Linked DNA regions of Sus scrofa. The protein of the gene in region 2 interacts with the protein of the main gene of each other region in a pairwise test. Links are inferred from orthologs where the notes say so. Each region holds a gene or a part of one and is shown on either strand. Other genes may lie near its edges. The genes, in order: ISG20L2 and EML1.

Region 1 (4,541 bases), on a different chromosome or scaffold from region 2:
TGTGGTTATGGTGTAGGCCGGTAGCTGCAGCTTCGATTCGACCCCTAGCCTGGGAACCTCCATATGCCAAGGATGAGGGCCTAAAAAGACAAAAAGAGCAAAAGAAAAAGAAAAAGAAAGTGCAAAGGCCCAGATCAGGCCAGTGCAGGTGTAGTATCGTGAATGTGAAGGGGTCTAAAAAGGAACACAGATTATGCAGAACTTTATAGATAATGGTAAAGAATTAGAATTTCATCAAAGTACCTAAGAAACAAATAAGTGTCATCATCAGATTCACATTTTCAAAAGATCAATCTGTTTTATGAAGAATTGTTTATGGAGGAGAGGAAGCAAACACAGAGCTCAGTTAGGAAGTAGTCCAGGAGAGAGACAATGTTAGCTTGGCCTAGAGTGGTAGCAATGGCGATGGAGACAAATGGGTGAATTTGGTATCTATTCTGGAGGTTGAACCAAATAGGACTTGTTGAAGGACTGGATTGTAGATCAGTGAAGAAAAGAGCTAAATTGAGGATGGTTTCTGGGTTTGGGAGCTGAACAATTCGGAGGATGCTGGTGCCATTTATACATCATCTCATTTATTTTTCACAATCATCCTTCAAAAAGGGATCCATTTTACAGCTGAGAAACTGGGGCTAGGAGGAATTGTTTTAATGCCTAAGGTTAACACAGTAAGCGAGGCAGGATTCTAGTCCAAGTCTCTCATATTCCAAAGCTGGAATTGTCCATTACACTGCAAAACCAGGAATTTATTCAAGGCTTGAATGAATGAACATGTGTGTTCTTGGAACACCTCACACGTTCCTGGGAAAGTTCGACGCAGCTGCAGCAGCATGGCTCAAATATCCATGCATTTTACTACTTTGGATTTCAGAAGCTTAGAAAGACAACCCAGATGCTAACATATTAACATTTAGGTCAGAAGAAAAAAAGGAAGAGCAGCCTCAAACTTTTCTTGTACAGACAAAAGCCTGAAGAAACTCATATTAGAAGAGACCAGACGCTAACTCTCCAGATCCTCTCCTGTCGTGAGCACCTATCCACCACACAACCAGGAGGAGCACCCCACCCACACCCCTGTGGCCTCACAATGATGTAGGCGTCCAGGATGGAACGGTAGAGCGTCACGACCCGGGTGAGGTTCACAGCTAGTTGCCTCCTCTCCTCGTAAGAGAGGCCCCGGGCGGAAACCCCCGGCATTCCGGGGCCCAGCCGGTGGCGCGAGGAGCGACAATGCAGTGAGGAGGGAACAGGGTCAGGACTACACGGGTCCAGGACCCAGGCTGGATTCAGTTCTGCACTCGGAGCAGGAAGAAAGCGCTCAGAATCCAGCCCCCGATGCTGCCTTTCCGGGACTTCAGCCTGGGTGAAGACTTGAGGCGCCCTCCAGACGTCACAGGTCGCGACGTCCCATAGCGCGAAGGTGTCAGCGTCGGAGACACACCGGGCGGGGGGGGGGGGTTGCCAGCGCAGTGACGTCACAGAGGCGTCCCCCGGCGCCCCGCTCACGGAGAGGGGTGGGCCAAGCTCAGGTCCCGCCCCTTCCCGTACAACCCCCCCTCCCGGAAGTGAGGCCGGGGTCTCCCGCGCGCTGCAGTTCTCGTTTGTCGCGGCCTCCCTGAACCTTCGAGTTGTACCTCCACGGGGCTAGAGGGGCTGGGGAGCGCATCCCGCCCCCGCCCCCACCCACGCCGCCTCCCCCACCGCCGCCGCTGCCGCTCCCCACACACTCGGAATCCCTGGCCTCGCTCCCGGAGGCGGGGGCGCTGTGGGCTCGCGCGCGCAGGCCCCCGGCGCGTTCCAATCCGCGCGCCTGCCGGGCCGGGCCTCGTCGGCGCGTGCCAATTTCCGTATCCGGCTCCTGGCGCTTCCGGTCCTAGCTGGGCACATCTAGGAGGTAGGTGCGCGAGCGTGTGGGGACGGCCGAAGTGGTGCGGACGGCCGAAGTGTGCCGTCCCCCGCGTCGGTTTCTTCTCTGTTGATATGTGGTGTCAAAGGTCCTTTCTTGGGAGAAGGACTTGGGTGAGATGCATGTGGCGATTTCCCCCACCTGGAGATCAGGGACAGGGGTTCCTGGAACCCGCGCTGGGGATGCCTGGGTAAGCCAGAGGTCGTCTGTGGCATACCCCACACTGCCTTCGAGCATACTTAGACGTTCTCTCCCTGGACAGATGAGATAGCTCACCTATTCGGGCGTTCTAGATCACAGAGTTTCAGCTGGTTGGCCCTGCAACCCCCTCAGTTTGCGGTTGAGACAGATATTGAGAAGGGAAATGGCCTTCCTGTACAGCTGCTGAATTGTGGGGCTGTCCTAGAACCCAGGCTTCCTGGCTGAGAAGAAGTGCTCCTTCCATCATTTCACATTATCTGAGAGGTTACTCTGATGTCTTTCTCTCTCTTAAGTCCTAGGGAGATGGGTCTTATCTTACGGGTTCCCAAGCCTATGGGTTCCCATTATCAGTATCACCTTCTTCCCCAGGGTATACTGCAGACCTCCAGATGTTGGTCTGTGGGATTCGGCAGAGGATGAGTTTTCTATCCTCCTCTCAACTGTAAGCTACTCTTCCCAACTGTTCTCCCGCTGTCCACTGTCATCATGTCTACCTTACTCCTCAATCTGGATTTTGGTGAACCTCCCCCAAAAAAGGCATTAGAGGGGAATGCCAAGCACCGAAAATTTGTCAAGAAGCGCCGGCTCTTGGAACGGAAGGGCTTTTTGAATAAGAAACAGCAGCCCCCTAGCAAGGTGGCTAAGTTGCAATCAGAATCGTCAAAGAAAGGGAAATCTCCCAAGGTAGATGGCGCTTGGAAGGCCCCTCTTCTTTCAAAAAAGAAGACAGCTGCCTCCAGCGGTGGGTCAGGGCAGTCTCTGGACAAGCCATCTGCAGTGCCTTGGCTGACCCCTGCCCCTTCACAGAAGGCTGGTTCTGTTGTGGCCAAAGTAGACTTACTGGGGGAGTTCCAGAGTGCCCTACCAAAGATTAAGAGCCACCCAACTCGCCCCCGGAAGAAGGGCTCCCAGAAGAATGCCCCACAGAATTCCACCCAAGCTCATTCCGAGAAGAAATATTCTGGAGCATCCCAGAAGGGTCCGAGCAAGATGGTGGCAATTGACTGTGAGATGGTGGGCACAGGACCCAAAGGGCATGTCAGTTCCTTGGCTCGGTGTAGTATTGTCAACTACAATGGAGATGTGCTTTATGACGAGTACATCCTTCCCCCCTGCCACATTGTGGACTACCGGACCAGGTGGAGTGGTATTCGGAAGCAGCATATGGTGAATGCCACACCCTTCAAGATTGCTCGAAGCCAGGTGAGAGGCTGGGGGGACAGGTGGTCGTGGAGAAGTGGGTGGGAGAAGTCCAAATCATTTCTCCCCAAAAGATAGCACCCTGGAAAGGCAGTTGTGGAGGGAGGTATGGAGTGGGTGGAATAGCAGATGATGAAGAAGACTTTTCTTTGGGGAAAAGGAGTGGGGAGGGTCTGGAAAGTTACAACTAGTTGGTATAACTTTATTTATTTATTTTGTCTTTTTATCTTTTCTAGGGCCGCACCTTCGGCATATGGAGGTTCCCAGGCTAGGGGTCCAATCGGAGCTGTAGCCGCCAGCCTACACCACAGCCACAGCCACGCCAGATCCGAGCTGAATCTGCGACCTACATCACAGCTCACAGCAATGCTGGATCCTTAATCCACTGAGTGAGGCCAGGGATTGAAGCCGCAACGTCATGGTTCCTAGCTGGATTCATTAACCACTGAGCCACGACGGGAACTCCACAAACTTTATTAGTTAAGATCTACTTTAGGTCCCAAGTGGAATCCTATACTGGAGGAGTGGGAGTCTACTAGAGAAATAACAGCCATGATGGACAGAGCAGCAGGCATGCATGCCAGGGGGAAAGGGCTTAAGCCATTCTATGCCTTGTAGAGGTTGAGTCTAGGGTTGAGAACAGAGAAGTGGTGAGGGCTTCCCACACAAGACATAGTCTGTGGCAGTGTGGAAAGTTGGTGGTCGGAGAGGGCAGAATGTTGACAGGAGGAGCTGGGGTATGTGTATATACCTGGAACAGGGAGCCTGCAGTGAAGGGGATAAAAGACACAGGACGGGTATGTCGGGGTTCTTCTCTCACTCATTGAGCAAACCTTACTCTAAGCCCTTATGGTGAATATTGGAGGCACAGGCAAATGAATAGGAAAGGAGGGGGAGCTGGTAGAGTTGAAAGGGAAGGAAGAGTGGGCGCACTGGCCTTGGAAGACCTCCAGAGGGCGCCCTTGGCTTTGTAATTTCAGCTCCACATTCTTTGCCTTTCCTGGACACACACTGTTCCAGTAATTCTTTACACGCCAGAGCAGTCAGTTGGAGGAATTTCATCAGAGGTGGAACAATTGGATTTTAGAAAGAACTCGAAGAGTTGAAGGATGTCCTATGCACCAGGGGCACAGCTGAGCACAGGCCTGGGAGAGGCAGGAGGTGGGATGGGTCTGAAACAGCAAATCCACTCCACTTGAACGAGGCCTGTATGTTGAAATTCAAAGGTGTTGGT
Region 2 (3,809 bases):
CTGGGGTGGCAGGAAGCAGCCTGTTCACGTACAAACTGTTTATACTGCCAGCGTGGTTTCTTAGCACAGATTTGAGAAAAGCTGATAACAATCCAGGCTGATGAAGAGGAACTGTAGATACTTCAAAGGGGTGAATATCTTCCATAAAACCAGAGGCTTCGGAGTATCTGTGACGGTTATAATTTAACAAGGGTTCAATCAAATGCTGGTCAAATCTTGTAAAAACTGCTACACAATGGAGTTCCTATTGTGGCGCAGTACAAACGAATCCGACTAGGAACCATGAGGTTGCAGGTTCGATCTCTGGCCTCGCTTAGTGGGTTAAGGATCGGGTGCTGCTGTGAGCTGGGGTGTAGGTCACAGACGTGGCTGGGATCTGGCGTGGCTGTGGCTGTGGCTGTGGTGTAGGCTGGCAGCTACAGCTCCGATTCGACCCCTAGCCTGGGAACCTCCATGTGCCGTGGATGTGGCCCTAAAAAAGCCAAATAATGATAATAGTAATAATAATAACATCCTAGATGTGAAATGTTACAACCTCAAATTTTATAAGCCTAATTCTATTTTGGTCGTTAACCTGCTTCCATGGTTTTTACAAAATATTACCCCCCTTAGTAACAGTTTATCGAAGCAATTTGCAAAACAGTAAGCTAGAGATTTTGAGCCTACAAGGAAACGGCTCAGCCTAACCACTGAAGGTTCAAAACGAACGTCCATAACATGACTGGCTGTCTTACCTCGGTTTTATGGAGTTTCTGGTAGTTTCCATTCCAAGAAATGAGTTTGCGGTCCTTCCCGCCTCCCGACACCAGCGTGCCGTCCCTTAACATACAAAGTGCAAAAATACCACCCTCGTGGGCCCCTTGAACTGCATAGCTTATTCGGTTCGTACCTAAACACAGCAAGAAAACACGCTTAGCACTTTGTCAAAAGGCTCACCTCTGCCCGACTCGCTTCCTTTCTGTTTTATTTTATTTTTTAATTTTCCCACTGTACAGCAAGGGGTCCTTTCTGTTTGAAAACGTGATATTGTCGGAACACCATTCTGGTGCGAATCGCCTAAGGATCCGCTTTCTAGACGTTGCCAGAGCACCAGACAAGCAGGACGTGGGTGACTTTATAATTAAGGGAAGCAGGGGACGGGATGGACCGGGAGGTTGGGAGTAGCGGGGGCAGGCTATTCTGTGTGGGCACGGATTAACCACGGGTCCTTCTGCAGGGCACGGGCGACTCCAGTCAACACCCTGTGACAGACCATCAGGGAGAAGAATACGAGAAAGGGACAGATGTGTGTGTAGCCGAGTCACTCCGCTGCTGGGCAGAAATGAACCCAACACTGTGAAGCCACTGCACTGCAATAGCATGCCTTTTAAACATTAATTAGGAAACACACTGACGCGAAGCATAGCGCAGAGTCAGACCACGTGCGGCTGAGAGGGGAGCTGTGTGTCTCTGCACAGGTGACGCAACTGCTCTGTCTCGGTTTCTGGCCACGGGGCTGCTGCTTATCCCACTGGGTTGTTCTCGGGGTGAAATGAAGCGGTGTGTCGAGCCCCTGGCACCCAGAGGAGCAGGGGACATGCCGAAGCCACTGAATTCGTCCGAAGTGACCTTGACGGGTTCTCTTCCCACCTTCGCCCCCAACCACCCCAAGCTCTGAGACCCCTGAGGCCCGGGATGGGGCATCTCCCCTTGGCTTCCTGGCACGTGGTGAGCGCGCACGCGTGCTCACTGAACTTGGCAGAGGGAATGTTTCCGAGTCATGGGCCTCACCACACGGTCCGCCCCCTGACAGCGGGGACTCCCACCTGAGCACCCGCACGCCCGGCGTCTGGCACGCGGCCCCCACGCAGCGGTACTCAGTCGACCTTGGCCAAGCGCTTTGTGAACCCGAAAAGTTTACTGTAGAGCTAAACGGTCATGGATGACTTTGTCACCACTGTTGTCAGATCTCCTAACAAAGCTGTTAATCCCATTAGACTGCCTTGGACTTGAACCTTTTATTTCACTTTCTACTGAGGTTGAGTTGATTTACAATATTGTGTTAATTTCTGCTGTACAGCAAAGTGATTCAGTTATACATACATATATGTATTCTTTTTTATGTAAAATTAAAAAATTTTTTTTCTTTTTATGTCCACACCTGTAGCATATGGAAGTTCCTGGGCTAGGGGTGGAATTGGAGCTGCAGTTGCAGGCCTATGCCACGGCCACGGCCACGCTGGATCTGAGCCACATCTGCGACCTACGCTGCAGCTTGTGGCAATGCTGGACCCTTAACCCACTGATGGAAGTCAGGGATCCAACCCGCATCCTCACAGAGACTACAACAGGTTCTTAGCCTGATGAGCCACAACAGGCACTCCAATATACATATTTTAATTTTAATTTTTTATTTTTATTTTTGTTTTTTAGGGCCATACCCACAACAATATGCAGGTTCCCAGGCTAGGGGTCAAATCGGAGCTGCAGCTGCCGGCCTACACCAGAGCCACAGCAATGCCAGATCCAAGCTGCGTCTGTGACCTACACCCCAGCTCACAGCAATGCCAGATCCTTAACCCACTGAGTGAGGTCAGAAATCGAACCTGCATCCTCAAGGATGCTAGTTGGTTTCGTTAACTGCTGAGCCATGAGAGGAACTCCAATGTACATATTTTAAAAAATATATTCTTTTCAGAGCTTCCTGGTGGCTCAATGGGTTAAGGACCTGGCATTGTCACTGTTGTGGCCCTGGTTACTGCTGTGGTGCAGGGTGGATCCCTGGCTGGGGAACTTCTGCATGCTGCAGGCATGGACAGAACAAATTCTTCTCTATTATGGTTTATCACAGGATACTGAATATAATTCCCTGTGCTATATAGTAGGACCTCACTGGCCTTCCATTCTATATATAATAGCTTATATCTGCTGACCCCAAGCCCCATCCTCCCCTCCCCACCTGTGGGAACCACACATCTGTTGTCTATGTGAGTCTTTTGGTTTCACAGATTTGTGTCATATTTTAGAGTCCACATATAAGTGATATCAGAGGGTATTTGTCCTTCTCTTTCTGACTTATGAAGAGCCTTTCAGAGTGACGGAAGTCAGCAGCTTTCTAGTCTTGTTCGCCTCTGTTCCAGTCTCCTGCTCGTACGCACCAGTGTTAGCTTGGAATCAGATAGTAACTCTGCAAGTTAACTGACAATTTCTATGGAGGCCACGCTTGGCTTCTTACTTAAAACGTCACCCAAAACCGTCTGCTCCGGGAGCAGGCACTGCTTACCTTTTCCCCAGACCAGGATGTTGCCACTTGAATCTCCGGTGATGGCGTCACCATTTTCAGAAAAAGTCACACAGAGGACAAACTTCGGCTTTTCCTGCTTCTGCAGAATGTTTAAAAAACATTCACATATATTTTAATTTAATTTTATTTTTTTATATTTTCTTTCTTTTTTCTTTTTTCTGCAATTTCTTGGGCCGCTCCCATGGCATATGAAGGTTCCCAGGCTAGGGGTCAAATCAGAGCTGTAGCCACCAGCCTACGCCACAGCCACAGCAATTCGGGATCCGAGCCGCGTCTGCAACCCACACCACAGCTCACAGCAACGCTGGATCCTTAACCCACTGAGCAAGGCCAGGGATCGAACCCGCAACCTCATGGTTCCTAGTCGGATTCGTTAACCACTGTGCCACGACGGGAACTCCTAGCATATGTTTTTAATCAAGACATCCTTCTGTTTATATTAATCACGACTGGAATCACAGTCACCCCCGGCAGGAGAGGGTCAGCTTTTGCTGCCAGACTGTGGGCCTTTCACTCCTATGTCCCG

The links.
Region 1: the proteins of EML1 (region 2) and ISG20L2 interact in binary tests that used the Homo sapiens proteins (3 or more experiments, as listed by UniProt). The two-hybrid records come from large-scale screens. The link is inferred for Sus scrofa from reciprocal best matches to the Homo sapiens genes EML1 and ISG20L2.

The regions. Positions count from the first base shown.
Region 1 is NC_010446.5:93,364,630-93,369,170, forward strand, and holds the start of ISG20L2 (interferon-stimulated 20 kDa exonuclease-like 2), read left to right. Parts: upstream 1-1,558; 5' UTR 1,559-1,894; exon of another isoform or gene 1,895-2,476; 5' UTR 2,477-2,593; coding exon 2,594-3,310; intron 3,311-4,541. Other genes in the region: protein RRNAD1, read right to left, coding at 1,087-1,197. UniProt on the Homo sapiens protein: 3'-> 5'-exoribonuclease involved in ribosome biogenesis in the processing of the 12S pre-rRNA. Displays a strong specificity for a 3'-end containing a free hydroxyl group.
Region 2 is NC_010449.5:120,866,271-120,870,079, reverse strand, and holds part of EML1 (echinoderm microtubule-associated protein-like 1), read right to left. Parts: intron 3,363-3,809; coding exon 3,263-3,362; intron 890-3,262; coding exon 735-889; intron 1-734. UniProt on the Homo sapiens protein: Modulates the assembly and organization of the microtubule cytoskeleton, and probably plays a role in regulating the orientation of the mitotic spindle and the orientation of the plane of cell division.